7 linked regions of the Ovis aries genome follow. The protein of the gene in region 4 purifies or fractionates together with the protein of the main gene of each other region. This does not show direct contact. Links are inferred from orthologs where the notes say so. Each region holds a gene or a part of one and is shown on either strand. Other genes may lie near its edges.

Region 1 (4,031 bases), on a different chromosome or scaffold from region 4:
CTTGCAGATTCGGCAGGACACTATCTTCTGGCCCTTGAGCTTGTTCATTGGGTCCTCCTCTTCCTGGCAGTTCAGATCCTGGCAGGGCAGGTGGTGGCAGTTCAGACGGTAGTTCAGCTGCTCCCCTGCTGCCTCCAGTAACACCCTGGCCACTGGCTCCCCCTGCCAGCCACCACACTTACCTCTTTGCTGGTGATGAATGTCATGGATACATCATCGCTGACTGTGGTGGTGGCTACGTTGGGCCCCGGTGGGTCAAATTCTGAGTTCCCAAACTTCTTCCAGTTCTGAGCTCAAGGCAGGATGGGGGACAGGTCAGGGCAAGGACAAGTGGGACCCCCTCCATTTGCACCCTAGACTTAACAAGAGCCACCTTGAGGGTGAGTGAGTCTTGAACCCTATTCACCGCCCTCAAATGCTCCTTGGAGAAGCGATGATGACAGTTGCTATTCCCTGAGGGCATGCCAGGCCCCAGCTCCATGCCAGCTCCAAGAGTAGGGGCAGCTCTCAGCCTCATGTTACAGATGAGAAAACTGAGGCTCAGGGGTAAACAGGTCCAGAGCCAACAACCCCTGGCAGGGGCTGACCAGCTTCCACCGAGTGATACTCAGGGGTGTGCAGGATCACCCAGATTTCCAGGGGCCTTGAGCTCCTTAAACAACCTGTACCTTGGCATCCTCCCCTATAAGGGACCACAATGCTCCCCACACCTCCCTGGAATGCTAGGGGAATGAATGAGAAAATACTTCCCACGAAGCACCTGAGTCTAACACCGAGTATGTAGGTAACTGTGCAAAACGTATTTACTGCCATCACTTCTGCTGCTACGACCACCTCACAGGAGGGCTTTGGCTCTGTTCCTCCCAGGCGACAAGCCGAGAGAAGTAAGAACCAACCCCTCCGCTCCCACTCCTGCACCTGCTGGACTTTTCAGGGCCCCCACGGACTGCACACAGGCCTCAGTTCTGCTCCAACAGAAGAGGTACACCCAGGGGACTTCCCCGGTGGCCCAGTGGTTAAGACTCCGCACTCTCAATGCACAAGGTGTGGTTTCAAGCCTTGCTCGGGGAACTAAGATCCCACATGCTGTGTGGTGCAACCAAACAATTAGAAAGAAACAAAAAAGCATCAGTCTCTCAATCATGTCTAACTTTTTGCGACCCTATGGACTATAGCCCACCAGGCTCCTCTGTCCATGGAATTCTCCAGGCAAGAACACTGGAGTGGGTAATCATCCCCTTCTCCAGGGTACCGTCCTGACCCAGGGATGAACCAGCATCTCCTGCATTGCAGGAAGATTCTTTACCACTGAGCCACCAGGGAAGCCACCAGGAAATTGTTTAACAAACAGTTAAACCCCACTTCTAAAAATGAAGGCAATAGGGAAAAGAACTCCTATTTTTTCTTTGAGTCAGCCCTGGAGGAGCCCCCAAGGAAGGGGGAGAAGGGTCTTACCTTCCTCCTTGCCACAGCCTTTGAGGCCTTCCGGGTCTCAATTCTGAAGGTGCGGACGATCTGTGGATAGGAGGGGAAACGTTTGGGCCTTCTGCTCCTCAAGGTTCCTAGCAGATCTTCCTCATCAAGACATCCAACACACCACTCTCTCCCTAGTCCAAGTGCCCCTCAAGCAAAGGGCTCCCACCTCTTCCCCAGCCTCACCTTGAACTTCTTGCCATCCTCATCTATCTTATACTCCGTCACTGTTTTGATGTTTCCATTGATGACCTCCTTGGGAGGTGGCAGTGGAGCTGGGAGAGAGGAAGAGACAAAGGAACTGAGCCCTGGGTAATAGGGACCAGAAGGAAGGAGGCTGGGGAGAGAGACGGCCCAGGGCTGGAGTGAAGTCGGGCACTCACCTCCCGGCAATAGCTCAGGCTCTGGACTGGTATCCCCAGTGGCCAGGGGGATCCCCTTGAGGAGCTCGCTGGTGACACATTTGTCTGTGACAGGGAGTGGAGGGAGCAGGGGTCAGCTGGGGGGTAGGGGTGGGCAGCGACAGGAACTCCCAAGCTGAAATCAAGGGACCTTTGGGATGATGCCTGCACCAGGAGCTGAGAAAGGTGGGACCAAGGGCAGAGGACTGGCCAGGAAGTGTCTTGGGATAGCCATTCAGGGACACGGAGCTGGCCGGTAGTAACTTCCAGCAATGAGAAGGGGAAGGGGATCCTTGGCCTGAGGGCCTGAGGGCCTGAGGGCCTGAGGGAAGGGGAGGGCCACAGGCATCCGGGCAATAGTATTAATACAAAGGCAGGAGTGTGGCTGTTAAACAATTTCCTGCCAGGAGCAGGGAAGCAGAAGTGCTGGCATCAAGGACTTGGGCGGTGGCACGGCAGAAGATGGGCTGGCTGGTGAACGTATGGAGTTGGAGATAGGCTGGCCCAGATGAGAGTGGCGCGGGGCAGGGGCTGGCTGTGAGGGGAGATGCAGGGTCTGACGGCGGTGCCAGGGTGGAGGATCAGAGCAGGCAGCAGTGACGGCCTGGGGCGGCGGGGGGAGGCCGGGCTGCGGTGATCCGAGGCGACAAGGTAGACTCACCGTCCTCTCCTTCCTCTTCCACCTGGTCCGCCCAACTGGGCTTCGAACTGCGGGGACAAGTTTGTCAAAAGGAGGGATGAGTGAGGCGAGGCCCAGCTCCCGCGGCCTCAACGCACCCAGGCTCTATATTAACTCCTAGGACCGCCCCCCATCCCCGGTCTGCTTACCAAACCCCCTCCACGACCCCTGACTCACTCAAAGTCTCCGGTCGGCATCGCAAAATCTCCACGCAGCCCAAGCCTGGGCCAAAGACCGGAAGTAAGAGGTGAAAGAGACTTCCGGCTCCGCTGCCTAGAGCAGCCGTAGCACTCCACAGCGCCCCCTACGGACGGAGGTAGAAGCGCCGCCTATGTGAGAGGCTGGGCCCTGGTATCTTACTATTAGAGGCTCGGCTCATTTACCTGAAAATCTTATTTATTTATTTATTTATTTGGCTGCGCTGGGTCTTAGTTGCGGCATGTAGGATCTAGTTCCTGGACCAGGAGGGCCTGCATTGGGATCACTGAATCTTAACCACCGGACCTTTTCTTTTACTTTTTTTAAAAATTAAAAATAATGACAATAAAGCTCAATTATATAGCTCTGACTGTTTGCAGGAACTGTGAGGAGGAAATTATCGTTTCCATTTTTCAGCTGAAGAAACCAAAACTGGTCTTCCTTGCCTGGAAATAACTTTTCTGATTCAAATGATCAAGATATCAAGTCACCCCCTAACTATTCTCCCTCCTTGAGTAACTCCCCCCCCCGCACTGTGAGGCTTGCAGAATCTTAATTCCCTAACCAGGTATCAGAACTGGGCGCTGCAGTGGAAGTGCAGAGTCTTAACCACTGGACCACCGGGGAATTCCTAGTAACATTCTTGGCTCCCTGATATAATCTTTTCCATTTTCTTTAATTTATTGCTTATTGTCCAGCGTTCCCTCTACTGTATGCATTCTCAGTGGGAGTGATATGACTCCCAAGGGGACCAAAATTAATTGTTCTGTGGCAAAAAAGAAACAAACAAAAAAAAAACCAACTTGGAGATGACAATGACTTGTGGCCTCCAAAGCCAACCCTCCCAGACAAAATCTTATTTCTAAACATTTAATTTCTATTGTTAGGGAGAAATTAAATGTAATTAGATTAACACTGATTTAAATGGAAGATAATTCCATTTTTCTCCTTTAGAGGGATGATAATGAAAAAAATGGTAAAAACTGCTGCAGACTTCTGCAGAAACACATTTGCCTGCTTTGTTCACTTCTGGGTCCCCAGCACCCTCAGGGTGTCTACACTTGATAAGTGCTCAATTCATGGGTATTTGGAACCGACAGGAACCAGATTATAAAGGACTTTAAAAACTAGACTAAAGATCATAGTCTCTTATATATATATTACATATATATACATGTATATATATATAACATATATAACATTTTTAAAAATATTTATTTTTATTTATTTGGCTGCATAGAGTCTTAGTTGTGGCACGTGGGAACTAGTTCCCTGACCAA
Region 2 (4,158 bases), on a different chromosome or scaffold from region 4:
AAGATCATGGCATCCGGTCCCATCACTTCATGGCAAATAGATGGGGAAACAGTGGAAACAGTGACTGACTTTATTTTTCTGGGCTCCAAAATCACTGTAGATGGTGATTGCAGCAATGAAATTAAAAGATGCTTACTCCTTGGCAGGAAAGTTATGACCAACGTAGACAGCATATTAAAAAGCAGAGACATTACTTTGCCAGCAAAGGTCCATCTAGTCAAGGCTATGGTTTTCCAGTGGTCATGTATGGATGTGAGAGTTGGACTATAAAGAAAGCTGAGCCCCGAAGAATTGATGCTTTTGAACTATGGTGTTGGACAAGACTGAGAGTCCCTTGGACCGCAAGGAGATCCAAACAGTCCATCCTAAAGGACATCAGTCCTGGGTGTTCATTGGAAGGACTGGTGTTGAAGCTGAAACTCCAATATTTTGGCCACCTGATGCGAAGAGCTGACTCATTGGGAAAGACCCTGATGCTGGGAAAGATTGAAGGCAGGAGGAGAAGGGGACGACAGAGGATGAGATGGTTGGATGGCATCATTGACTCAATGAACACGGGTTTGGGCGGACTCCAGGATTTGGTGACGGACAGGGAGGTCTGGCGTGCTGGGATCGCAAAGAGTCGGACATGACTAAGCGACTGGACTGAACCGAACTGTGAGATATTTAAACTTTTTCAATGTTTTTTAAATAATGGACGGTGATTTTTAAAAAATGAGACGTAGTCAAATTCTATTTCTGCTATTGATTTTCGAAAGGATTTTTTTTTTTTAATGATACAGCTTCGAAATTATTTAGTCACAAGTAGCTCATTTAGTTCAAATTTGCCTATTGTTTCTGGTGAATGATCTTGGGAGCTAGATAATATCGGGAAAGTGGGGGAAATATAACTAAAAATGCTTTTAAATGCGAATTACATTTCACAGAAGAAAAATCATGGATACACTAGCGCTAGTGTGCCGGTTTCGCTCACACAGCGCTCTCGAAAACTAAATCTGGGGTCGCGAACCTCCGCCTAATCCTTTGTGGTCCCATCCCACCGTACCCAGACAGCGAAATGGGCACCGCCAAGGGCCAGGTGCAGTGGGGAACTTTAGTAACGACGCACCGGATGTGTGCGTGGAAGTGACTGAAGTCAACTCACGAATGATTGGTTCTCCTGAGAGGACCTAAGCCTCCTTTCTCCTGCCACTGGCCACGGGGTTTGTCTATTTGAACAGTCCCCGCCCCCTGGAGAAGCCGGTCCCGAAGCCTCACTTCTCCTAAATGATTATTGGCCTGTATTCCTGTCTATCTTCTTCTTATGGCCGTCGATTGGTCGTCAGGGCTAGGAGTACGCCCTCCCTCCCGCCCGGCTTAGAGGACAGCGGGGAAGGCGGGTGGTGGGGACCGGGCCCTGAAGCGGCGGTACCGGCGCTGGCGGCGGCAGCTGAGGCCTTGGCCGAAGCCGCGCGGTGAGTCTGGGGCCTGGCACCGACCCCTCCAAGGCGGTGGAATGTCCAGACCCACGGCTAGCCTGGTCCGTGGGGGCACCCCGGGAAGCCGTCCATCTGGGACTTGGGGTCCCCTCAGTACTGGCCCCACGGAGTTGGGCGCCGCCGGAGCCCTTGACCCTCACTCCGCGAGGCTACGCCCACTTCCTCCCGGACCTCCAGGAAACCCCCGGACCCTTTAGCCTAGCGTGTGTTTCTGGCGCCAGAAGGCCGGCCCATCAGCTCCTGTATTGCTGGGGCGCCTCTGGGTCTCTGCCCGTCTGTCAACCTTTCTTCTGAGCCACCTACACATTGTCCTCGGAGAGGACCAACGTCAGTGTCAGCCCCTTGCGCTTCACTGTGGATGCCTCTCAGGGACCCATTTCCCGGAGCTGAGCTCGGTTCCACCCTGAGTTTCATCCTCTCTGCTTCCCCCGCCACCATCCCTAGTTTGGGCACCTGGCTTCAACTTCTGAAAGCCCTCGCCAAGACCCTTCGTATATTTAACTTCTAGTATTTTCATTGAATTCTGCCTGGAGCAGATAGCCTTTGGGCCTTAGACCTTATGAAGGTAGGCTGATTCCTTCCTGAGACTGGAAATTCCTTGCTTGCCTACCCCCCCCCCCCCCCCCCATCACTGCCAAGTGCACACTCTCTGTAGTAGTTTTCTCCTCTGGAATTCTTGGGTTTCCTCAGCCCTAAAGTCTGACACTTCTTTCTGCAGTCGTCTTCTTGATGCTGGAGAATTTAAAAGCTTTTCAGAATCAATTATTACTGTTTTTTACCCTTCTGGATTTCACAAATTCTTTCAAAATAAGAAATTTTGAAAATTTTATTTTCTATTATAACGTGGACATGCCCAGGATAGGTGTATATGTTACTGCCATGGCAGTCTGGGCCGAGCTTTATCATAGCCACTGCATTATGGTCACTTGATTATTTGTGTTTCCCCCTAGATTGTAAGCTTATTGAGGGAAGGAACAGTACATAATTCAGGAATAAATGAGTGATCTCAGGAACAAATCAGTCTGTCTTAGCTCACGTTCCAGCTACGTTCCATAGGGCAGAGACTTCCCTGACAGTCCAGTGGTGACGACTCCTTGCTTCTAATGCAGTGGGCACAGGTTCAAACCCTGGTTGGGGAAGTGAGATCCCACATGCTGCAGGGCAGGACCACAAAATAAGAACAGAAAATAATAAAAAATTTAAAAAATACAGAACTGTGCTGCCCAATACAATAACCATCAGCCACATGAGGCTTTAGAGTGCTTGAAATGTGACTAGTCCAAGTTGAAATTGACCTAATTATAAAATGCACACTCGATTTTGGTGACTTGGTACAGAAAAAAAGAATGAAAAAAATGTCAATAATTTTTTGTATTGATAACATGTTGAAATGATATTTAGGATATATTGGGATTAAATGTGTTCATTTTTCTTGTTTCTTTTTATGTTTTCCATATGGCTACTAGGAAATTCAAAGTTACGTTTGTGATTCATATTGCTTTTGGGCAGTGCTGCTATAGAATAATAAACAGTGCCCCTCTTTAAATTTTCCTCAAGGAAAGGGGCAGTCTTAGGCATGCTTATTTTCCCTCTGTCTCCCCACTCTAGTACCTGACTGTGCCATGTATGTAGTAGTCATAATGATAATCATAGCTAGTAACTATTAACTCACTGTGTGCCTGGCACTGTTTTAATCATTTTTTAACATGGGTTAACTCACTTAATCCTCACGTCAACCTTATGAGTTAGGTACTATTATCCTCTTATTACAGTTAGGGAAACTGTTAAGTATCTTCCTCAAGGTATATAATTTTGGACTGAATTCACACTCAGGTAAGTCTGGCAGCACAGCCCATCATTTGACCTATGCTACTGTGCTGCCTCTTTTAAACATCAGTCATCGTTGAATGGCTCAAGGCTCTTTGCATGTTTTTCAGTGAGGTCTCCCAACCTTGTTTGGCTCCCCAGCTTGACTTGGGTGTATGAAGATCTGTGTTGAGGAGCTGGGACCATATATAAGTTCATTGCCATGGTTTGTTATTCAGAATATTAAAGGAAGCATCTCTCCAAAGAACCTCAGGGCAAGATGCTTGGAACCGGCCCTGCCGCCGCCACCACAGCTGCCACCACATCCAGCAACGTGAGCGTCCTGCAGCAGTTTGCCAGCGGCCTAAAGAGCCGGAATGAAGAGACCAGGGCCAAAGCTGCCAAGGAGCTGCAGCACTACGTCACCATGGAGCTCCGAGAGGTTCGGACTGTTGTCATTGGGCCATTCATCATGGAGTGTTGGGGCTACCTGTACCATCCCTGGGTTAAATGCCTCTTGACAGCTAAGTGAGAATTCAGAAAATGTAAAGATTCCATTTCAGAAAGGCGCCCAGTTTCTCCTGTCCATAGAATGTGCGGATTCCTTTGCAGCAGTTACACATTTCTGTGGCATTTCCTGTGGTGTGGTATTTTAAGAGTCAGCATAGAGATGGCTGTTTCTTTTCTTTTTTTTTCTGTTTCATGCCACATTCCAGACCTTCCACTCTTTCTACCTGATAATAGTGGTTGGCATGGCTTTGAGGAGTTGGTTGCTTGAGGCTTTCTAAACAGTGACCAGACTTGAGGTCAGGGACAATGTCTTGTTTGTCCTTATACCTCTGGTACTAGGTAGAATCTAGGACGGTGGGTGGCC
Region 3 (4,110 bases), on a different chromosome or scaffold from region 4:
ACATCCCGCCACTGTGGCACTCACAACGGACGACATTGTATCTGTCTCCACCTCTGGAGAATGTGCTTCTCCATAGCAAAGACCTGCTCTAACTTCTCTGCATGTCACCAGTGCCCAGCAAAGACCTGGGAGAGATCTGGGTACCCAGAAAATATTTCCTAAATGGAGCCGTTCAATAGGCTCCCCTGTCTTCTGTCTGTTCCTGCAATGTTCCCCACTGCTACCTGGGCTTGCCAAAGCTAAACATGCTTGGGGACTTCCCCAGCAGTGGTTAAGACTCTGCCTTCCAATGCAGGGGGTGTGGGTTCAATCCCTGGTCAGGGAACTAAGATCCCAGTTGCCACAGGGTGTGGCCAAAAATTAAAAAAAAAAAAAAGAATTGAACAGGCTCTTCCCTGCTCAGGACCCTCCCCAGCATGAAGTCCTACAGAACAGTCATGTTCCTGAGCTCACATTCAAGGCCCGTCTGGCCCTAGCCTGCCTCAGCTTCTCCACTGCTGTCTGTTTCACCCCCGAGAAGCAGGAGCTCCTGCCAGATCAGATGACTTGGACGTGCCACTTGCTGTGCTTCCACTCTTGCATCTGCCACAGCTATCGCCTCACATGACACTTGCTTTGGGAAGCCTTCCCGGGCTGATCCCATCCCCATTTCAGGCTTCAGGTGCCTCCCCCTCAGCTTTCATAGTGCACTGTGCTACCTCTAACAAGGCTTATATCTCACTGGAGTGCCTCTTTTCATCTCTGTCTCCTGATTTTCTTGTCTCTTTTTCCCTAGACTGGGAACCATCTCTGGTTTTATCTCTATTTCCCCAGAACCTGTTGACCTCAATAAGTATATTGTAGGTCCTCACTGTTTGCTGAAAAAGTGCAGGATCCAGGCTTACCTGTTTCACAGTCCCAGAGACGACAGCTGTTGTCAGCTGAGCCAGTGAGGACATGCTTGGTGTCCCCTGAAGAGGGTGTTAAGAAGCATAACAGAATTCACCTGAGTCCTTGTCCTCTTGGAAGGCCAAGTGAATCATCTCCCTATTCAGCACCAGAGAGCCTTCCTTCTCTCATCCTAACCTCCTCATTCAGAACTGGAACCTGTCCTAAATGTTCCCCGAAATAGTGAACAGACCAAGGAGTAGGAGGTAGGTAGCATCATTCTCCAGACCCCACCAGAGCATCTCAAACTCTCAGCTTCAGGTCAGCAGCTTCTCCATTGCTGGCAGACCCTGGTAGCACAGACTCAGAACAAAGATAAGGATACAGTCAGCGTCCACACACCACACAGCTCCGGTATGGCCCATGTAGGTGCCCAGTCTCTCACCATTCACAGAGTACCATACATTGACAATCTGGAGGATCAAGGACAATGTGACAGGATGATAGGCATTGTGGGCAGAGCCATGGCCTATTTTGCCCCAGAAGCTTCTAGCCAGGCCAGATTCGACCCTCCCCAGCTCATCTCTTGGGGAACAGCAGGTTGCTGGTAAAAAGACCAACTCCTGGATTCTCCTCCTGCTTGCGAAAAAGTCTCCATCATACCAGCCTTTCCCCAGACTCCTAAACCCTTTGAGGAATAAAAGGTCAAGCTGAGTATCAGCCTAGCAAAAGAGTAGTGTTTTGGTGTTCTGTCCAAACAGGAGCCGTTGGTAGGAGAGAAACCTAGGTTCCAGTCCCTGCTCTGCTACTATCTCACTGTATTATTGAAATGTGTGCTTTTCCCCTCTGAACTTCAGTTTTCCCACGTGTAAACTGGCCAGGACAATAACGCCTTTTTCAAAGAGTAGCTGTGAGACTCCAATAAAATAATGTCTAAGGAATTTAAAATGTGTCTAACATTAATATGGTACTCACAAACACTCTTTATTCAAGTAAGCTCTTTATTTGAATAATCTCATTTAATTCTAAAGACAACCCCAAGAGGGAGGTACTATTACTACCCATATTTTGTAAAAAGGGGCTCTTAAAGTTTATAATGGTTAAATGGCATGTTCAAAGTCACACTGCTAGTGAATACAGGACTCAGGATTCAAATCAGGTGTGTCAGCCCCCACGTTTAGCCACTAGGGTTAACTTTCTCCATATGGAGGTGCCTCAAAATGCAGTACTCAAAGGGGCTGTTTGCAGTGAGTGAGTGGCAGGAAGAGGGATGACTGAAATGATACCAAGGACACCTTCTTTAAGGTCTTTATCCTCGCCGCCCCAGGATCAACTTCCCCCTTCTCCAGGTGGTCTGTTCCCCTATCCTTGTAGAATAGTTTTGTTCTTCCCCGGAATGAGCTCCTCTCCGCCCCATGAGCAAGATGACCCACGTCCCCGTCCCCTTTCCACAAGGTACCCTTGCTTTTCTTCTCCCTGGCTACTCCCTCCTATCAACAATGGAGTCCTTTCCCACATCTATCGGTGTAATGCTCTTGCCCTCCAAACCCCGGGCTGATCTCTCCCTACTTCTCAGAACGGGGCACTCCTCGGTTTTTCTCGCAGCAAAACTAGCTTGTCCACCCTTCGCCCCGGGAGAATGAACGCGCCCGCTCCCGAGCCCCCTCCGCAAGGTCCCGGCGGGCCCGCCCTTCGGCCGACGCTCACAGGGTCCTTCGCCACCGTGAAAAGGAGGTCTCCCTCGCGGTTGTACTTAATCTGAGTAATGGACCGCTCATGGCCCTGCAGCAGGATCGGCTTCTGTGGGGACAGGACGGCAGTGTCAGCGCCCAGAATTGGCCCCTACCCCAGCACGGACCCCTACGGCAATACCTTTAACACAGGAGAACTCACCATTCCGGCGGTGACGCGAGGAAAGCGGCAACGTGAGTAGAACCGGAAGAGGCTTTGGCGCCACTTCCGGATTACGAGTCTCCGCCCCCTTTGTTCCCGGAAGTGGAGAGGATCGGCGTTGCCATGGCGGCGACCCTGGGTAAGCGGGCCCCGCCCCTCCCCTCGCTTCCAGACTGCTATCCCAAGTTCATTTCTTACTCCCTCCTCCACCACCTAACCCCGACCCTTGCTACAACCCCGAACTTGGGCTCCAGGATCCATCTCCCCGGCTTCCCGGGGCCTGTCCTACCCGCCAATCAGACCCGGGGCGTCGGAGAGCAAAGAAGGGATGTGGGAGCGGCGGGGTGGGAATGGGAGACCGGAGGAGGGCTAAGGCCGTGCGGTGGGGCGGCGGGGGATGTCACTCGTCTCTCCATCCAGGGCAGGTGCTGGCTCTGGTGCTAGTGGCCGCTCTGTGGGGTGGCACACAGCCATTGCTGAAGCGGGCCTCCTCTCGCCTGCAGCAGGTTCATGAGCGGACCTGGGCCCGGCAGTTGCTGCAGGAAATGAAAACCTTGTTCTTGAATCCCGAGGTGCGTCTGTGAATGAGTCCTCTCTAGAGGGTAGCAGCTAAGAATTTGGTCTCTGGAGTCAAACAGATCAGGCTCAAAATCTGTGCTCCACCACTTACTCGCCAGAAGCTCTTGGATGAGTCTTGTTTGCCTTGAGTCTCAGTTTCGTCATCTGTAAAATGGGGATAATAAGGGTAACCGTCTTACGGGGCAGTTGTGAGGGTTAAGTGAGGTGAGGCACTAAAGCAGTTAGCAGTGGGCCTTATACATATTATAATTAGGTTTCAAGTCTCTGATGCCCTGAGCAGCTAGTAATATTTTATTATGGTGATCCTTCCAACAGACTTTTCCAGAGGGAGGGCTTAGGGCTTAAATTGGCCCTGGGGAGGGGGGCATAAGGGAGAATCTAGAGTACTACTTCTGAGCTCAGTGCTGCCAGTCTCGGCTGGTGGGAAAGTCATAGACACAACTGCCTCTCAGGGGTAAGGGCTTTGAGTGAGGTACAGACAAAGTGCTTTGTGAGTTCAGAGGAGGGAGGCTGGAGCTAGGCGACTGAGGGAAGGTTTCTTGGAGAGAGGAACACTGGCGCTCAGGGACTTGCAGGATGGGGAGGACAGAAACCAGCCGGGCTGAGGGGGAGGGCATTCAGGGCAAAGGCATGGGGTTCAGTCAGTGATGTTCCCTCTGCCCTGGAAGGGTCCTTTTCAGATGGCTTGGGCCCTAGCCCTTACAGCTACCCCTCCCTCCAAGGAAAGGCTTATCTCAAAGCTCAAAGAAGGCAGCCCTGCTCAGATAAGCA
Region 4 (3,500 bases):
GCAGCCTTCCGTGTCTGGCCTCCTCCCCTGAGCGCGGGGTGCAGGCCCGTCCAGGTGGCGCCCTGAGCTCGTCCCTCATCGTTTCCACGGCTGAGCCTGTTTACTGTGTTATATCGTGTTTGCCCATTTATCCTTTGGTGGGCATGTGGGTTGTTTCCACCTTTTGGCTATCACGGATAATGCAGCTTTTTACATGAACATAGCTGTTCCACTGTTTTGAAATAATAGTTGGATCAGTCCCAGCTGGTGGGCCTTCGGGACACTACAGAAGGTTTGCAGAGAGGTCACAATATGGATCCTTGGGCCCGTCTGCTGGAGGTGACCTCAGGGCAGGTCTAGGGTCTGGGCTGGGGCCGAGGGACCGCTGCTTCTCCGGACACTGTGCCCGTCTCCGCCTTCATCAGCGTTTGAGAGCTCGTCTCACCACTTCAGTCACTGCCAGTTTTCACGTCTCTAACAGGCGTATACGTTTAATCTTTCATTAACTTAAGTTGTCCTTTGAGTCTTCCTCATGCTTGGTTTTCAGAATGCCACCCCTTCTTTTTTCTTTTAAACAGGGTGTTGTCACAAATTTTGAAATTTTCCGGATGAGAGAAAAACAGGTGCCTGTTGACGTGGTCGAGATGAAAGGCAAGTGCCTCCGTCCTGTCCTGAGGTTGAGTAGCTGCCGAGCTGTCACGCCTACTCGTAGCGCTTCCCTGCGAGTTCACAGCCAGGCAGGCTGGCTGAGGCCAGGCGTCTCTGTGTTACAGAGCCTACGTCGGGTCACGGTTTCTCTGTCCTTCCCAGCTTCAGTCTCTTAGCCTTTCCAGTTGCCAGGTGAAGAGACGCCCCCTTTTTTTCATTCACACCATGTGATCTGCTTACATAGCAGAGGGACACAGGTTCGAGCCTGGTTTCACGCTTAGAGAGTGTGAAGAGCAGGTTTTCATCATACACCCAGCAACGCAGCTAAGAGCTTGTCCTCTTACATAGGAAGGTTCTCAGTTGAGTAGCGGTATTTTGGGTTTTTGGACTCCTAAAAACTGGAGACGCTGTCTCTGCCTTTAGGTGGAACGTTTGGCGTGTATATCCTGTTTTGCTGGGGAGAGGAGGAAGGGAAGGGAAGGTGCTGCCTGGGAGAGGGCATGACCCCTGTGTGCCGTGCGGAGAGTGAGGGGCACATCCACAGGCCGGCCCGCCCGTGGCAGGAGCCTGGGGTAAAGTGGGGCCCGCCCGCCGGCCACGGCGGCTCCGCAGGGCTCAGCGTGCTGTCTTTGTGCCCGTGCTGCTTGTGGGCCTTTCAATGAACCTGAGAATCTGGGGCATCTCTTGTTGAGCAGCCTTAACGGAAAATGACGTTCTGTGACCAAGGAGCTCGCCCTCTCTTCTGGCCCTAGAAACCATCATTGCCTTCGCTTGGGAGCCGAACGGAAGTAAGTTTGCTGTGCTGCACGGGGAGGCGCCCCGGATATCCGCCTCCTTCTACCACGTGAAGAGCAACGGGAAGATCGAGCTCATCAGTAAGCGGCCGAGTGGGAGCCCAGGGGCAGAGCTCGGTTACTGCTCCTGGGAGAGTGCTTGGCTGGACAGAGCGTCCTGTGGGCAGCTGGTGGTGGGCGAGGGAGTTTGCTGCAAAGGACGGGCCTTCTGTGCACTCCCGAGCGGCGGTGTGTGTGACATCGTCATTCTGTGATGTCGCCAACTGGCTGTCACAAAACTGAGTGTATTATTACTTCCCTTTGTCATGAAAGGACATTTGGACAGCTGAAGAGTCATGGCCTCCTGTTGTAAAGTAGGTTATGATGCAGCAAGCGTACAAGTGCCTCTGCTTTCCAGGCACCCCGCAACCCTGCCTCCCCTTGCAGGGTCAGCCTGCAGGCCACCACAGTGCTGGGGACTGCTCAGGATCCTTTCCATCCTGCCCGTCCCTATCAGGGCGGTGCTGCCCCCCTCCCCACCCTGCCCCTCCCTCCTGAGTAAAGAGATGAGGGCCAGGCCCCACCCCTTCAGGAGTGAGCATTGGGTTGGCATTGGGAGAGATGGTGGAATTAGCTTCTTTCAGTTAAAAAGTGAGTCGCTAGAATGGATTTCTAGGCTGTTGGGGTCACGTATCTCTGAGAATCTGGGGGAAACTGGACTCCTTGCCCTGGTGGTGCGTCCCCACGGTGACACTGCCTGCGTGGGGTGTTTTGTCTGATTGCACCGTCAAGTGCAGTGCTAGCGTTACTTAACGCAGCACCGCAGTTTCAGAACCCCTCCAGGCCCCCAAACTACGAGGCGCGGCGCCTCACAGAGTCCCGTGTGCACACCCGCGGGGTGGCCCTGTCTCGGCTGCACGCTGACCTCTGACCCTCTCCTTCCAGAGATGTTCGACAAGCAGCAGGCCAACACCATCTTCTGGAGCCCCCAGGGGCAGTTCGTCGTGCTGGCTGGCCTGCGGAGGTGGGTTCCGCTGATGCCCTGTGCGGGGCTGGGGGAGACCGTGACCCCGGCTCTGGCCCCGAAGGTTGCTCTGCCGCCTCCCTGCGAGTGCGGGGCAGGTGCTCCCAAGGGCGTCCCGGCCTGGGTGGATCGTGCGGTGTCTCCATCCTGCTGCCCAGACGTGGCCAGGACCAGGCCCCTTGCAGACGCTTCCACCGGGGACTTCGGAACGCAGGACCTCCTCCTGGTGGCCCAGTCCCCCGGTGTAAATGCCGCGCGTCCGTGTGGGAAGGGGGTTTGGTCAGGCTGGGAGCCCGTCTTGCCCTCTGCTGGGTGTGCCCACGAGCCTCTGGGCGTTCACCCCCTTGCTCCCCACCTGGCTGTGCAGCAGGCTGTGCAGAGCCTGGACAGGGGTGCGGGGCCTCCTCTGGGCTGGCGGGGCTCCCCGCCTCACTGTGGGTGCCTCGCGCTGGGGTTTGGCAGCTCAGCCTCTGCCAGCCTCTCCTCTGGGAGCCTGTGTTCCCTGTGCGTCATCTGTGTCCCTGTGGGCATTGCCACGTCCACGATCAGGCGGGACAGTGGGCTCCCGAGCGCAAGCCTGCTCGCCCGAGCTGGGGGCGGCACAGACGCGGCTCTCGGTGACGCCAGCCGCGCTGTCTCCCCAGCATGAACGGCGCCCTGGCGTTTGTCGACACCTCGGACTGCACGGTCATGAACATCGCTGAGCACTACATGGCCTCCGACGTGGAGTGGGACCCCACTGGGCGCTACGTCGTCACCTCCGTGTCCTGGTGGAGCCACAAGGTGCGGGGGTCCCGAGCGCCCTGCCTGCTCTGCCTCAGGGCCTCGCCCTCACCCCAGGACTGCAGTTCTGGGTGGTGGGGCTTCCGGCCGTTCCGGGGTCCCCAGCCTGGTCCCTCTGTCCCTCCCCGGTGTTCGCATGGGCCCCCACTCCACAGCGTGACACGCCTTCATTGTCGTTAGCCATTCGCTGTCCTCTCTTCCTGCTGGCTTGAGCCGTTAGGAGGACGGGCCGTTTCTCCCGAGCCACATCCCCAGCATCTGAAACTGCTGGCACATTGTCAGCCTTCAGTCAG
Region 5 (4,105 bases), on a different chromosome or scaffold from region 4:
ATGACAACCAACTGCGGCCACACAGGAGAAGCGTGGAGCTCACAAACCCAGGGCTGAGTGCAAGCTGCCAGACGCAGAAGAGCTCCAGTCGTGCAGCTACTCTTATGTTCAGTTCAAAGCAGGCAAACCTGCGCTAAGCGAATCAGGATGTGTATGTGTGTACATGCGCCTGCAAGCGTGTGGTAAATTCACACAAAGCCAGGCCACGAGAGCACAGGAGTGGTCACCAGGGTCATCAGGTCAGCGTGGTTGGCACAAAACACATGGGGCAAAGGACAGGGTGCTAGCAACACCCATTTTGCAGTTGGGCTGCTGATTACATAGGTGTCCATTTATAACTCCACGTTAAACCATATACTTGCTTTCTGCAGCAGCCTGTATGTGCGCTTTGTTATGATTTTTATTTATTTTTTTTTTTACTTTTTGGTTGCACAGCAAGGCCTGCGGGAGCTTAGTTCCCCAGCCAGGGATCTAACTCGTGTCCCCTGCAGTGGAAGGCTGGAATCTTAACTGCTGGAGTGCAGCCCCTGTAACTAAGTTTTCAAAAACCATCCCTCCTCCTGCCCCTACTTCCTGGCTCCCTAGTCTTGCACATTCTATCCAAAACAGATAAAGAGGTCATACAATTCAATACCAAAAATCCCGCAAAACCCTGTCAGAAACTTCTGAATAGACGCTTTTTTTTTAAAAGAAGACAGAGATCGCCAACAGGCAATTGAGAAGATGCTCAACATCACTAAACATCAGGAAAATGCAAATCAGAATCACACACTTGACAAAATGGCTATCAACAAGAAGACAACAAATAACAAAACACCGGCAAGGATGTGGAGGAGAGAACGCTTGATAGTGTCATGTCAATTGGCACAGCCACCGTGGAAAACAGTAGGGAGGTTCCCTGTAAAATCAAATCTAGGACTACCACATGATCCAGCAATTCCACTCCTGGGTATGTGTGTGTATATAAATATAAGTAAAGAAAACAAACACTAATTTGAAGTGATACAGGCACCCCAGTGTTCTCAGGAGCATTATTTTCAGTAGCCAAGATCTGGAAGCAACCTAAGTGTCCACTGACAAATGAATGGATAAAGAAGATGTGGTACATAGAAACACATACACACAATGGAATATTATTCAGCCATTAAAAAAAAAAAAAGGAAAAAGAATGAAAATTTGCCCTTTCAACAACATGGATGGACCTGGAGAATATTACGCTTAGTGAAGTTAAGTCAGACAGGGAAAGGCAAATACCACATGTTTTCGCTTATATGTAGAATCTAAAGAATAAAATGAAAGCAACAAAACAGAAACAGAGAAGCAAACTAGTGGTTATAGATGGGAATGGGGTGGGGGAGAGGTGAGATAATGGAAGGGGATTAAGGGGTACGAAATATATATGAAATAAGATACAAAGTCACAATGAACAGCACAGGGGCTATGACCCCCATTATATAAGAACTCTAAACGGAGTATAACCTATAAAAATACCCAAACACTATGTTGTACATCTAAAACTAATATAACATTGTAAATCAACTAGATTCCAATTTTTAAAAAAGAGAGAGAAGTCACATCCTGGAGGTTACCCCTCACTCCCACCCCACCCAGTGCTGGGAGTGGCAGGCTGCTGACTATGGGAACCGGGTGGGAATGGAGGCAGATACTCACAGTTTCAGGACAGCCAGGTTGGCTTCCAGATCATAGGCATTTTCCTTGGCCTGTGTCTCCACATAGCGCTCCAGGGTGGCCAGGTTCTCAGGGTTGTACCTAGAGGAGAAACAAGATGAGTGAGCAGAGACAAGAGCTGAGGCCAGTCACTCCCATGGGGTAGGAGTGGGGGCGACTGTAGCCTGCTCCTCCTTCTCTTCCTTTCCTCCCTCCCTCCGTCACTGGCCACTTGCTCTACTCAAATATTGAATCAGCTCTATAATCTCTGATGAAACTTATCCATATCCCTGACCTAAGCCCCAGCTCTAAACCCCATCAGAGCCCTGGGTCTTTTCTGAAAAATGTCTTTTCAATCTCTCAGCCAACCAGCCCTTGCAGCCTGTACATCTGCCCTCCTGGACATCTTTGATATCCACCCCTTTCTCCCATCCCCAAACCCCACTCTGGTGCAGCCCATTCTCTCCTGCCTAGTTTTCCCCATCCTAGCCCCCACCAATCTACCTATGTTTCCCCCATCACCACCTTGACCACTCCTGGCTATCACTGTCTACCGTCCGGTTTATCTGAACTAGAAACTCCATGAAAGCATGGCCAGTGGCTGTCTTTGGTTATCTCTGGTCCGCACCATTGCCCAGAATTCACAGTGTAGATTTCAGTAAACATGTGTTCGATGAATGAAATTAGGGGGGGAAGGGGAGCCACGAAGAGGCACTGAGAGGCTCAGTGAGACTGAGGAGCAGAGAGAAAACAGAGGGGCTGAGAGAGAATAAGTTAAGCAGAGAGGGCGGCCTTAAGGCAATTAAAGCGGACTGAGCGGCAGGCAAGGCCACCTCTTGCCTTTAGGCCTATACAATGCTGTTTTCTTAAACAACTGCTCCAGACTGACTGAAAAATCCCACCCCTGGGCAAGCCCAGGATGCTGACCACCTCTTGCTGACCCCAGAAAACCCTCTCCTCCACGCTGGCCAGAAACGCTCCCTCCGACCGGGCTCAGACCTGTCGATCCCCTTGAGCAACTTGCCCACGTTCGCTCTCATCTGCTCAAACATCGCCATGACTGCTGCCGCCTCCCACACCAGGCCTAAGGCCGAAGACCCTGCCGGCAAAGCGTCCTCGAGGACCGGAAGAGGAAGAGTTGGTGGAAACGGAAACTACGTAATTGTTTTCTCTCCAGCCCCGCGGTGAATCGTGCTTTGGGTCTAGCTGCGGCTGCCACGCTTTCCGGCTGCCGCGTGACTTCTTCCCAGCCGGCGCAGTTAGCGCGTGCGCATACGCTCTACTCGAGCAGAAGCTACGGCGCGAGAAAAGACCTAGTCTAACCAAGTGCGCAGGCGCCTTCTCGCGGCGAGGGGGCGGGACTAAGCTTTTCCCGGGCCTCGCGTATCCAGTTATAGACCCTGGCGCGTGAGCGCGGACTTAGCGGGAAGTAGACTGATCCGTGACGGCGTGCACGGGCTGTGAACTCAAAACTGCTGGGGTTCCATCAGTACAATCCTTTTGGTCCATGGGCATGTGCCGAAGAAGGTGCCCTCTGAGGTCCCCTTGGCCTCTGAGGAAGGATCCTGAGCTTCGCAGTTTTAAGTCGTGAACCTGGTCCCCCACACTTCACCCTAACGCCGAGGGTAGTGGCCCGCAAAGCTGTTGTGCTCAGCTCGGCAGGGGCGGAGAGAGGGGCTCGTGGACCCCGCTAGATCACGCCCAGTCCCCATAGCTCCAGTTCTGTGGGTGAAGGCGAGCGCTCCGCATGTGGCATCCCTAGTTGTGTGTTCAGATACTGCCCACTGCAAGCATGACTGAACATGCATGTGTCATATGTGTATATGCTCTGGGTATATCCACATACGTGCACACGGGTATCCAGGAGTGTGCACGGCGACTGGCCTGCGCGCCGCACGGGGAGTTACCACTAAGTGCCTGTATGTGTCCCGGGTGAACAATGATGTACATACACTACATGGTCATCCCGGTGTAGACCTGCCATCTCCAGGTTGTGGCCCAACACTCAGCGTTCAGCAGAGGTTCAAATGTTTTTAGCCACTGCCCATAACGGGGGAGGGTGAGGGCACCCTCCAGGTCACAATGAAGATAGTTTGCATCTGGTTTACATGCAGCCCAGGGCCCCGGAGGTGGAGGGGGGAGTCCCCTGGGTCCCAAGGCAAGCTGCCCCTCACAGGCTGTCAGGGCCCAGGGGACAGGGGGTGGAGCCGCTGGCTGCACAGCTCTGTGCCGGGGCAGGAAGCGAGAGTGGGGAGGGGGGAGGCCACAGCCGGTGGAGGCAAGGCGGGTGCAGGGCGTGTGGGGAGGGAGGGAGGTGCCAGCATTCGGAGCCCTGAGGCCCTGCTGGCCCCTGGGCGCAGGCCCAGCTCCGGCCCCCAGGAATGGACCTCGTAGACCCTGACATCTTTAACAGGGACCCCCGGGACCACTATGACCT
Region 6 (4,271 bases), on a different chromosome or scaffold from region 4:
AAGATTCAGACCCCGCTGACAGGCAGGCACCTTTCCGAGCCGATCTCCTTTGCTGAACGGCTGGTAGGGCATATCCCGAAACTGCTCCGGAACTGCACAGGGACCCCAGCCTGAGGGGTTGTCCTGGATCACGGGTGTCATGAACTTTGCCATCTTTTAAAACCTTAAAAATACAAATAACAAAGTAACTCCATGAAGAAAAGCCTCTAAAAAACAAACAAACAAAAAAACCCGAAGTCTTCCATTTGAGGTAAGCTAATACAGGATAAAGTTAAAAAAGCAAAACACAGAACAGAACCCTCAACTGCTGAGCTACTCTCCACTTACCATCTTCTTGTGAATAAGACTGTGAATACTTAAAACTCAGACGACTGCTCACCAAATTTATGTATCATATCTCACCATTTGTTTTTTCCCACTGTACTATCTCTGACATGAACCTGCACCTTCTAACTGATGAGGTGTCATACCGTATCTGGCAACTTTTCTTTCTTAGTGTTACATGAAGATATTGTGCTTCTTGAATTCAGTGATGTCTTACAGACTTGATGAAATGTAATTAACTTTTTTTTGAGTTTAATAACCAGGTTCCAGTTTTCATTCACACCTTTACCAGACATACAATATTTAATTCCCCTAAACCTCAGTCTCTTTACCTGAAAAATAATAAGATCCTTGTTTTATTCCCATCAGAGGATCACTGTGAAAGCTGTATATATTAGTTAACATAAGCAGAAATAGTTCCATTGTAAAACGCCAGACACTTACTATTCTGTCTTACAAAAATACATTTACACACAGTGCCGAGAAAAAACAAGGGTCCATGAATGTATCCTGAAATGCAACCTTCCTTTGTTGTTCTTTCAATTTTCTGTTGTCAGTGTAAATTCTTATGCAGGGCATAGAAGTCAGGCAGAAAGCCCAGCAGAAGGTTGAGGAAGCCAGAAGCCTTATGTCATGAAAGTGGCCGAACACAGCCAATGTTCATAAACATTATGAGTACCAGGCATGTTGTTAGCGCTTTCCACACATTAATTCATTAACTCCTCAACAATCTCCTCCCGAGGTAGGGCCAGTATTAGCCCCACTTTCCAGAGAAGAAAACTGAGGCACAGAGATATCAAGAAATCGCCCAAAGTTGCAACACTAATGGATGAAAATCTGAACCCTGGGAAACTGGCTTCAGAGTCCACACTTTGTGTAAGGCCAGTACTCCGCTCAGGAAGAGTAAAAACCAGGGGCTCGACAGATATCTGCCAAACAATTCCTCCCCAAAACTCATGCATGCATTTATCATCCATTCTAATCCCCTGAAAATGCCCAGAAGCTGAGTTCCCAGGGGAAAATTCACCACACAAATATTTCCAGAGTCTGGGGAGCAATCAAAGAGCTGCTGCTGCTAAGTCACTTCAGTCATGTCTGACTCTGTGCGACCTCATAGATGGCAGCCCACCAGGCTCCCCTGTCCCTGAGATTCTCCAGGCAAGAACACTGGAGTGGGTTGCCATTTCTTTCTCCAGTGCATGAAAGTGAAAAGTGAAAGTGAAGTCGCTCAGTTGTATCAATCAAAGAGCAAAGAATACTAAATTTATGAAACTCTCTTCATTTTCCCATGATGGGGAGAGTTCCTAGAGGTGACACTTGCGTGATCCAAAAGGGCATGAACCTGGAAGCCCCATCCTCCTACCTAAACTTAAATTACACTACAGGAAGCGGACTGAGGGAGAGTGTGGTGGTCTCAAAACAATATACCCTTATATATTACCAGGGTCCTACAACATGTCAGATGCAACACCACTAAACCCCTAGGCCCCAATTTCAGATTAAAAAAAAAATACACAGTTCAGCCAAATCAAGCAGCTGATCTCATCATTTCAAGATAGACTTGGTTTCTAGGGTCCTCTGTCTTAAGTGTAACACTCTTCCCATTATTTTACAGCTGGACAGCAGCCTGAAAAGATCCTGGGTTTCAGATCATATCAATAACACAGTGAGATATCTCCAAACACACTTTAAAAGGGGCGGAAGGAAGTCGCTTGGTTTCAACGCGTAAACTAAAAAGTAGGCAGAGTACAATGTAACCAACAGGGGAAACTAAATCTTTCAGTTGAAACGGAGTGACAGCTGTACTGGCTACAGATAAAGGATGGGGCGGCATCAACAGGACAGTCATAGGGAGAACCTTGTGGCTGGCAGGTTACTGCAGATCGTTTGCCAATTCCTGGGCGGTTAATGTCAAATCAGAGATCAACCAACTACATCCTAGCCTTCCATTTCATAGGCAAGGAAAAGAAACATTTAGACGGTGAACTCCTCAGAGCAGGGCCGAACATCGCTCAGTTTGGCACACCCAATAGCCCTCTCGTAGAAGCTCAGGGAACCGTGGGGCACTTTAAAAGACCCTGAGACTCAGCGGGGTTAATGACATGTTCACATCAGAACACACTGTCGGTGGCCGCTAAGCGGACTCCACGGAAAGAGACCTCAACCACAGGCTCTGCCCCGCACTGGGTCGGACCTGGGGGGACCGAAGGCGGATTCCTGCCCCTCCCAGCGGAGGTACAGGGAAGCAGGAGGGGGCGTACGGAAGTCTCTTCCGGCAGGCCCCCGAAGGCCAGGCGCAGCTCAACTCTGCTCTGGAGATCCGCGGAAGCGTACGGAATACGCTGCTTACCTGTAACGGCCGTAACCGGCCCCGATGGTGAGAGATAGTCTAGGCCGAATACCGCGCCACCGCCTGAGCTACGGGGAACCGGGAAAGGAGGAAACATGCGCGCGCAGCGGCCGGCACCGTAAATACGACCGACGGTGTCGTAAACTGCTTCTTGGCTTCCTTCCGGTTCGACGGCGGAACACGCGAGTCGTAAAGCGAAGGCACATCCGGAAGTTCGTCCCTGTTCTCTTCGCGGTGTTCTTATTTAGCCTTCGAGGATGTTTACAGTTACGTCATGGGGCATCCGGCGACACTCCGAGAGTTTCAAGTTTCTTGAAACGTGGCGGCCTTGTAGTTGGAGTTGGAAGCGGCGACTGGCTGAAAGCCCCTCTATGTCCCACAATGCCTTGCGGGCCGCTCTGGCCCTCTGTATCCCACAACGACCCGCGGCTTCTGCCTTCTTTAAAAGATCGTGTTGTTTGAGTTTCACCGTTAGGGGGAGTTCGAGTCTTTCAGGCAGGTTTTTGCGGCTACTCGCTGAGCTTTGAGCGCTTTCGGAAACAGACCAGGAGGTGCAAAGTGACCTGAGTAGATCAGACTACTAGTGTCGGAGGTCGCTGCCAGTGTTCAAACCATACCTCCACAGTTCTCAGACTTTCTTGTTTGACAAAGATTCCTGGAGAGCTAATTTGAAAAATGAAGATTCCGGGTCCCCTTCCATAGACTGTTATACAAGCGTGGCTTAGCTGGAGCCCAGAAACCTGCATTTTAATTGGTGGTGATTCTGAAGTGGCGACTCAGGAACCACCTGGCTACGATGGCAACGGTGCTGTCTTTTTGGAAACTCAGCCTACGGAGTTTGTCCTGCAGCACGCCAGGCCTCCCTGTCCATCACCAACTCCCGGAGTTCACTCAAACTCACGTCCTTCAAGTAGGTGATGCCATCCAGCCATCTCATCCTCTGTCGTCCCCTTCTCCTCCTGCCCCCAATCCCTCCCCAGCATCAGAGTCTTTTCCAATGAGTCAACTTCGCATGAAGTGGCCAAAGTACTGGAGTTTCAGCTTTAGCATCATTCCTTCCAAAGAACACCCAGGACTGATCTCTTTCAGAATGGACTGGTTGGATCTCCTTACAGTCCAAGGGGCTCTCAAGAATCTTCTCCAACACCACAGTTCAAAAGCATCAGTTCTTCGATGCTCAGCTTTCTTCACAGTCCAACTCTCACATCCATACATGACCACTGGAAAACCATAGCCTTGACTAGGCGGACCTTTGTTGGCAAAGTAATGTCTCTGCTTTTGAATATGCTATCTAGGTTGGTCATAACTTCCTTTCCAAGGAGTAAGCGTCTTTTAATTTCATGGCTGCAGTCACCATCTGCAGTGATTTAGGAGCCCCCCAAAATAAAGTCTGACACTGTTTCCACTGTTTGCCCATCTGTTTGCTATGAAGTGATGAGACCAGATGCCATGATCTTTGTTTTCTGAATGTTGAGCTTTAAGCCAAGTTTTTCACTCTCCTCTTTCACTTTCATCAAGAGGCTTTTGAGTTCCTCTTCACTTTCTGCCATAAGAGTGGTGTCATCTGCATATCTGAGGTTATTGATATTTCTCCCGG
Region 7 (3,055 bases), on a different chromosome or scaffold from region 4:
ATTTAACAATTTCCCCAATGTTTACCTCAATATTCTCATCTTCATCATCATCTTCACCACCAGAAGATTCTTCCTCTGCTTCCTTCAACCATTTTATAAAAGGTTCCGCTTTAACACGAATCTCTTTGGCAAGTTCCTTTGAGACATATTTCTTAGAGGTCTAAAAAACGTTTAGTAAAACTTTTAGTTCAAACAACTTAACAGTAACTTGAGTTATACATAATTGTCTATACCCATCCTTTGAGGAGACTGGAATACATATTAATCTCAAACTCTCAACAGATTAAACGTATTCAGCAAAGAGCAAAAGATTTTCTTTGGTCATTACTAGAAGCTACCATGGTGGGGATCACCCTACAGGTTATACCAGTCAAGCAAGTAGAGACTAGGTGTTAGAAAACTTTTTCCAAAAAAGCCCCAATCCTAATCTTTAAGAGCTTATCAATATATTCCCCACCTTTTCCGACCAGCTAATGATGACCTCTTCCTCCAAAAGGTCTGCATCATACATCTCCTTCAAGATATGTGGAATCTTGGAAATGAGCTGAGATTGATGCATTGCTACCACACACTCCAAACCATGAAGAAGGTACCGCTGAGCTTTTTTGTTGTTGTGACAAAACTGCAAATAGATATTCTTGGTGTTAACAAGCTTTCTTAGATGCGACAGCCCTATAACAGTAAGGAGTCAATGCTTAAAGATTTCTAATTTACTTCACATATACAGGACCACATGTAGCATTTTCCAGATACTCTCATGCTTGTTAAGGTAGGTCAGTTATTTCCATTTTTTCAGGATGACAGAACAAACAGGAGGTTGAAATGGTGTTTCCAAAGTCACACATCTGCAAATCTCACTATGAACACAGAACAATTCGCTTACTCGTAAGAAATGGCGCCTGTATTTCTTAATTTGTTCTCTAATCTTCTCATTAAAAAGAACTTCAGTCAAAACAAGAGGGCCCATGGCTTTTACATCCAGTCTTTCTGCTTCAGCTACAATCTCTTTGTCAGATGAGTCAATAATACCTTCTTCTTTCTTTTTCTGCAAATAAAAGGAAGCAAGTTTAAAAAAAAAACCAAAAGAAGCAATTCAGTGAGACAGACGCGTATTTTGCACTGTCCCTGGGGCTTCCCTGGTAGCTCTGATACTAAAGATAATCTGCCTGCAATGCAGGAGGACATGGGTTTGATCCCTGGGTTGGGAAGATCCCCTAGAGAAGCAAACGGTTACCCACTCAGGACTGGACAATTCCAGAGTCTGGAAGGCTGCAGTCCATGGGGTCGCAAAAGAGCTGCACACGACTGAGTGACTAAGCACAGCACCATAGTCACTACTCTGATGAACCTTTCCCTTACTTAAGATTCTAGAACTTCTAAATACACACTTGCCAAAAACTGCCTGGAACCACCCTCAAAAAATTTTTGAACAAACAGCTTAAGGTAATAAATATCTAGTAAAACCTCAAGACTGGGTAGAAGCTGACTTACTGATCAACACAATGTTTTTACCTTCACAAAATCAAACAGGATATTGACTCGCTCTTCAATAGTCCTTTCCAAATCATCGCTGAGGGTTAAAACCTTTGCATGGTCACTGATCTCATCCATTCTACGCCTTTGAGCTTCCTCTGTTGTATCCTCCCCCCAGTCGTCATCCTCTTCTTCTTCCTGTTTTTAATAACAAAAATGCTTGGCCAAAGAGACCTTAAAGGTGTAAAAAAAAAAAAAAAAAAAAAAAAATCCAGATTTCTAGTGAAATTATCATTTTCTCACTAAATTTCTATTTACTTCTAATCAACCAATAAGCATCTGGAACCCAACGTACTGGTACGCTGTTCACAGAAAAGCAGTTTGTTTCTGCACACCTCAACCAAAGGTCACATTTCACACAATGTTAGTGCCCACCGCCCCCCTCGAGCCTCGCACTCACCACAGCATGTGGAGGAGGGCTGATCTCATGTGGTGGTGGTGGTGGTGGTGTCTCACTGGTGGAAACGGAGCCATTTTCCTTGTCTTTGCCCTTTCTATTTTTCTTTTCCTTTTCTTTTTTTCCTGTGCTACTGTCACTATTCTCTACACGGATAAAAAGGAAAGTTGAGTACCATGAGTTATATTATACCTCATTGCCCACCATTAACATTTAAAACCCTGCCCTCAGAAAGCCACAGAAAATGCTACCTATAATTCTAAAAGGGTTCATAAATCAAATTCATCCACTATGTTTCATAGGTAGGCAACTGAGTCTAAGAAAGAAAAGCCAGTAAATATCAGAGGTATTAGCTGTTTTAGTAAAATTAAGAGTTGGATGCCATGTAGCAACTCAACAATGAAAAACAGACCACACAAGTACTTGAAAGTTGGCACTCATGACCCTCTCTTTCCACTCCTCATAAACTGATCAACAAGGGTATTCTCAACTATGCTTCAGCCAAAAACTAGAACTGTGTTCAAGTCTATGTAACGGCTAGTCTCACAGAAAAGAGAACACCGGAATAGGTTAGACTTTTTTGCTATAGCAAGCTCAAATTGTGTCAGACAATTTTGATTTATCTGCCACAGAGTGTTGCTTGCATGCTCTAAAGCCACTCTGGCCTACTGAGCCAAGGCCCTCATGTACAAATGAGTATTCCAGAAGCAATCCATGGGGTTGCAAAGAGTCCGACTCAACTTAGCAACTGAACAATTCCAGAAGTAGATCTTTACTATGACCCCATCACAATTTGTCCAATATTTCATACATCCTAAAACGTCTTAAAAATTGAGGATATGGTTGAGTTTAATGGTAGCCTGTACTTGACCTTTAATAGTACATACAACAGCAGGTTCATCAAACAGCTGACTTTTGAATGTTAAGCTGAAACCACACCGATCCATTTACATGGAGTTCCCCACCCCCCAATAATTACATACTACAGTACTACACTATTCACTGTTGGTTGGTTGATCCTTGTATACACAGGGCTGACCTTATTATAAGCAAACTTTCACCTGCACAGGTGTTCAAGGATTAACCTTATTCTATATAGCGGTAAAGACACTTCCACTGTTTTCA

What was found.
Region 1: the proteins of EIF3B (region 4) and EIF3G purify together in Homo sapiens (affinity purification with mass spectrometry; 12 studies listed by BioGRID and IntAct, counting the BioPlex papers as one, with this or other methods). This does not show direct contact. The link is inferred for Ovis aries from reciprocal best matches to the Homo sapiens genes EIF3B and EIF3G.
Region 2: the proteins of EIF3B (region 4) and MTOR purify together in Homo sapiens (affinity purification with western blotting; 3 studies listed by BioGRID and IntAct, with this or other methods). This does not show direct contact. The link is inferred for Ovis aries from reciprocal best matches to the Homo sapiens genes EIF3B and MTOR.
Region 3: the proteins of EIF3B (region 4) and EIF3I purify together in Homo sapiens (affinity purification with mass spectrometry; 12 studies listed by BioGRID and IntAct, counting the BioPlex papers as one, with this or other methods). This does not show direct contact. The link is inferred for Ovis aries from reciprocal best matches to the Homo sapiens genes EIF3B and EIF3I.
Region 5: the proteins of EIF3B (region 4) and EIF3K purify together in Homo sapiens (affinity purification with mass spectrometry; 7 studies listed by BioGRID and IntAct, with this or other methods). This does not show direct contact. The link is inferred for Ovis aries from reciprocal best matches to the Homo sapiens genes EIF3B and EIF3K.
Region 6: the proteins of EIF3B (region 4) and EIF3D purify together in Homo sapiens (affinity purification with mass spectrometry; 10 studies listed by BioGRID and IntAct, with this or other methods). This does not show direct contact. The link is inferred for Ovis aries from reciprocal best matches to the Homo sapiens genes EIF3B and EIF3D.
Region 7: the proteins of EIF3B (region 4) and EIF5 fractionate together in Homo sapiens (co-fractionation; 3 studies listed by BioGRID and IntAct, with this or other methods). This does not show direct contact. The link is inferred for Ovis aries from reciprocal best matches to the Homo sapiens genes EIF3B and EIF5.

Annotation. Positions count from the first base shown.
Region 1 is NC_056058.1:12,527,644-12,531,674, forward strand, and holds the start of EIF3G (eukaryotic translation initiation factor 3 subunit G), read right to left. Parts: upstream 2,801-4,031; 5' UTR 2,751-2,800; coding exon 2,731-2,750; intron 2,583-2,730; coding exon 2,536-2,582; intron 1,941-2,535; coding exon 1,857-1,940; intron 1,749-1,856; coding exon 1,660-1,748; intron 1,516-1,659; coding exon 1,456-1,515; intron 288-1,455; coding exon 183-287; intron 79-182; coding exon 1-78. UniProt on the Homo sapiens protein: RNA-binding component of the eukaryotic translation initiation factor 3 (eIF-3) complex, which is required for several steps in the initiation of protein synthesis.
Region 2 is NC_056065.1:41,653,575-41,657,732, forward strand, and holds the start of MTOR (serine/threonine-protein kinase mTOR), read left to right. Parts: upstream 1-1,358; 5' UTR 1,359-1,454; intron 1,455-3,523; 5' UTR 3,524-3,564; coding exon 3,565-3,726; intron 3,727-4,158. UniProt on the Homo sapiens protein: Serine/threonine protein kinase which is a central regulator of cellular metabolism, growth and survival in response to hormones, growth factors, nutrients, energy and stress signals.
Region 3 is NC_056055.1:235,308,604-235,312,713, forward strand, and holds the start of EIF3I (eukaryotic translation initiation factor 3 subunit I), read right to left. Parts: upstream 2,801-4,110; 5' UTR 2,764-2,800; coding exon 2,761-2,763; intron 2,668-2,760; coding exon 2,575-2,667; intron 1,341-2,574; coding exon 1,253-1,340; intron 951-1,252; coding exon 885-950; intron 1-884. Other genes in the region: TMEM234 (transmembrane protein 234), read left to right, coding at 2,884-2,899, 3,181-3,332. UniProt on the Homo sapiens protein: Component of the eukaryotic translation initiation factor 3 (eIF-3) complex, which is required for several steps in the initiation of protein synthesis.
Region 4 is NC_056077.1:41,264,714-41,268,213, reverse strand, and holds part of EIF3B (eukaryotic translation initiation factor 3 subunit B), read left to right. Parts: intron 1-557; coding exon 558-630; intron 631-1,379; coding exon 1,380-1,502; intron 1,503-2,345; coding exon 2,346-2,424; intron 2,425-3,068; coding exon 3,069-3,207; intron 3,208-3,500.
Region 5 is NC_056067.1:47,756,294-47,760,398, reverse strand, and holds the start of EIF3K (eukaryotic translation initiation factor 3 subunit K), read right to left. Parts: upstream 2,801-4,105; 5' UTR 2,727-2,800; coding exon 2,668-2,726; intron 1,771-2,667; coding exon 1,672-1,770; intron 1-1,671. Other genes in the region: MAP4K1 (mitogen-activated protein kinase kinase kinase kinase 1), read left to right, coding at 4,050-4,105. UniProt on the Homo sapiens protein: Component of the eukaryotic translation initiation factor 3 (eIF-3) complex, which is required for several steps in the initiation of protein synthesis.
Region 6 is NC_056056.1:180,582,333-180,586,603, forward strand, and holds the start of EIF3D (eukaryotic translation initiation factor 3 subunit D), read right to left. Parts: upstream 2,801-4,271; 5' UTR 2,675-2,800; intron 164-2,674; 5' UTR 154-163; coding exon 31-153; intron 1-30. UniProt on the Homo sapiens protein: mRNA cap-binding component of the eukaryotic translation initiation factor 3 (eIF-3) complex, a complex required for several steps in the initiation of protein synthesis of a specialized repertoire of mRNAs.
Region 7 is NC_056071.1:65,730,199-65,733,253, reverse strand, and holds part of EIF5 (eukaryotic translation initiation factor 5), read right to left. Parts: intron 2,573-3,055; exon of another isoform or gene 2,446-2,572; intron 2,077-2,445; coding exon 1,934-2,076; intron 1,672-1,933; coding exon 1,513-1,671; intron 1,046-1,512; coding exon 884-1,045; intron 623-883; coding exon 458-622; intron 161-457; coding exon 26-160; intron 1-25.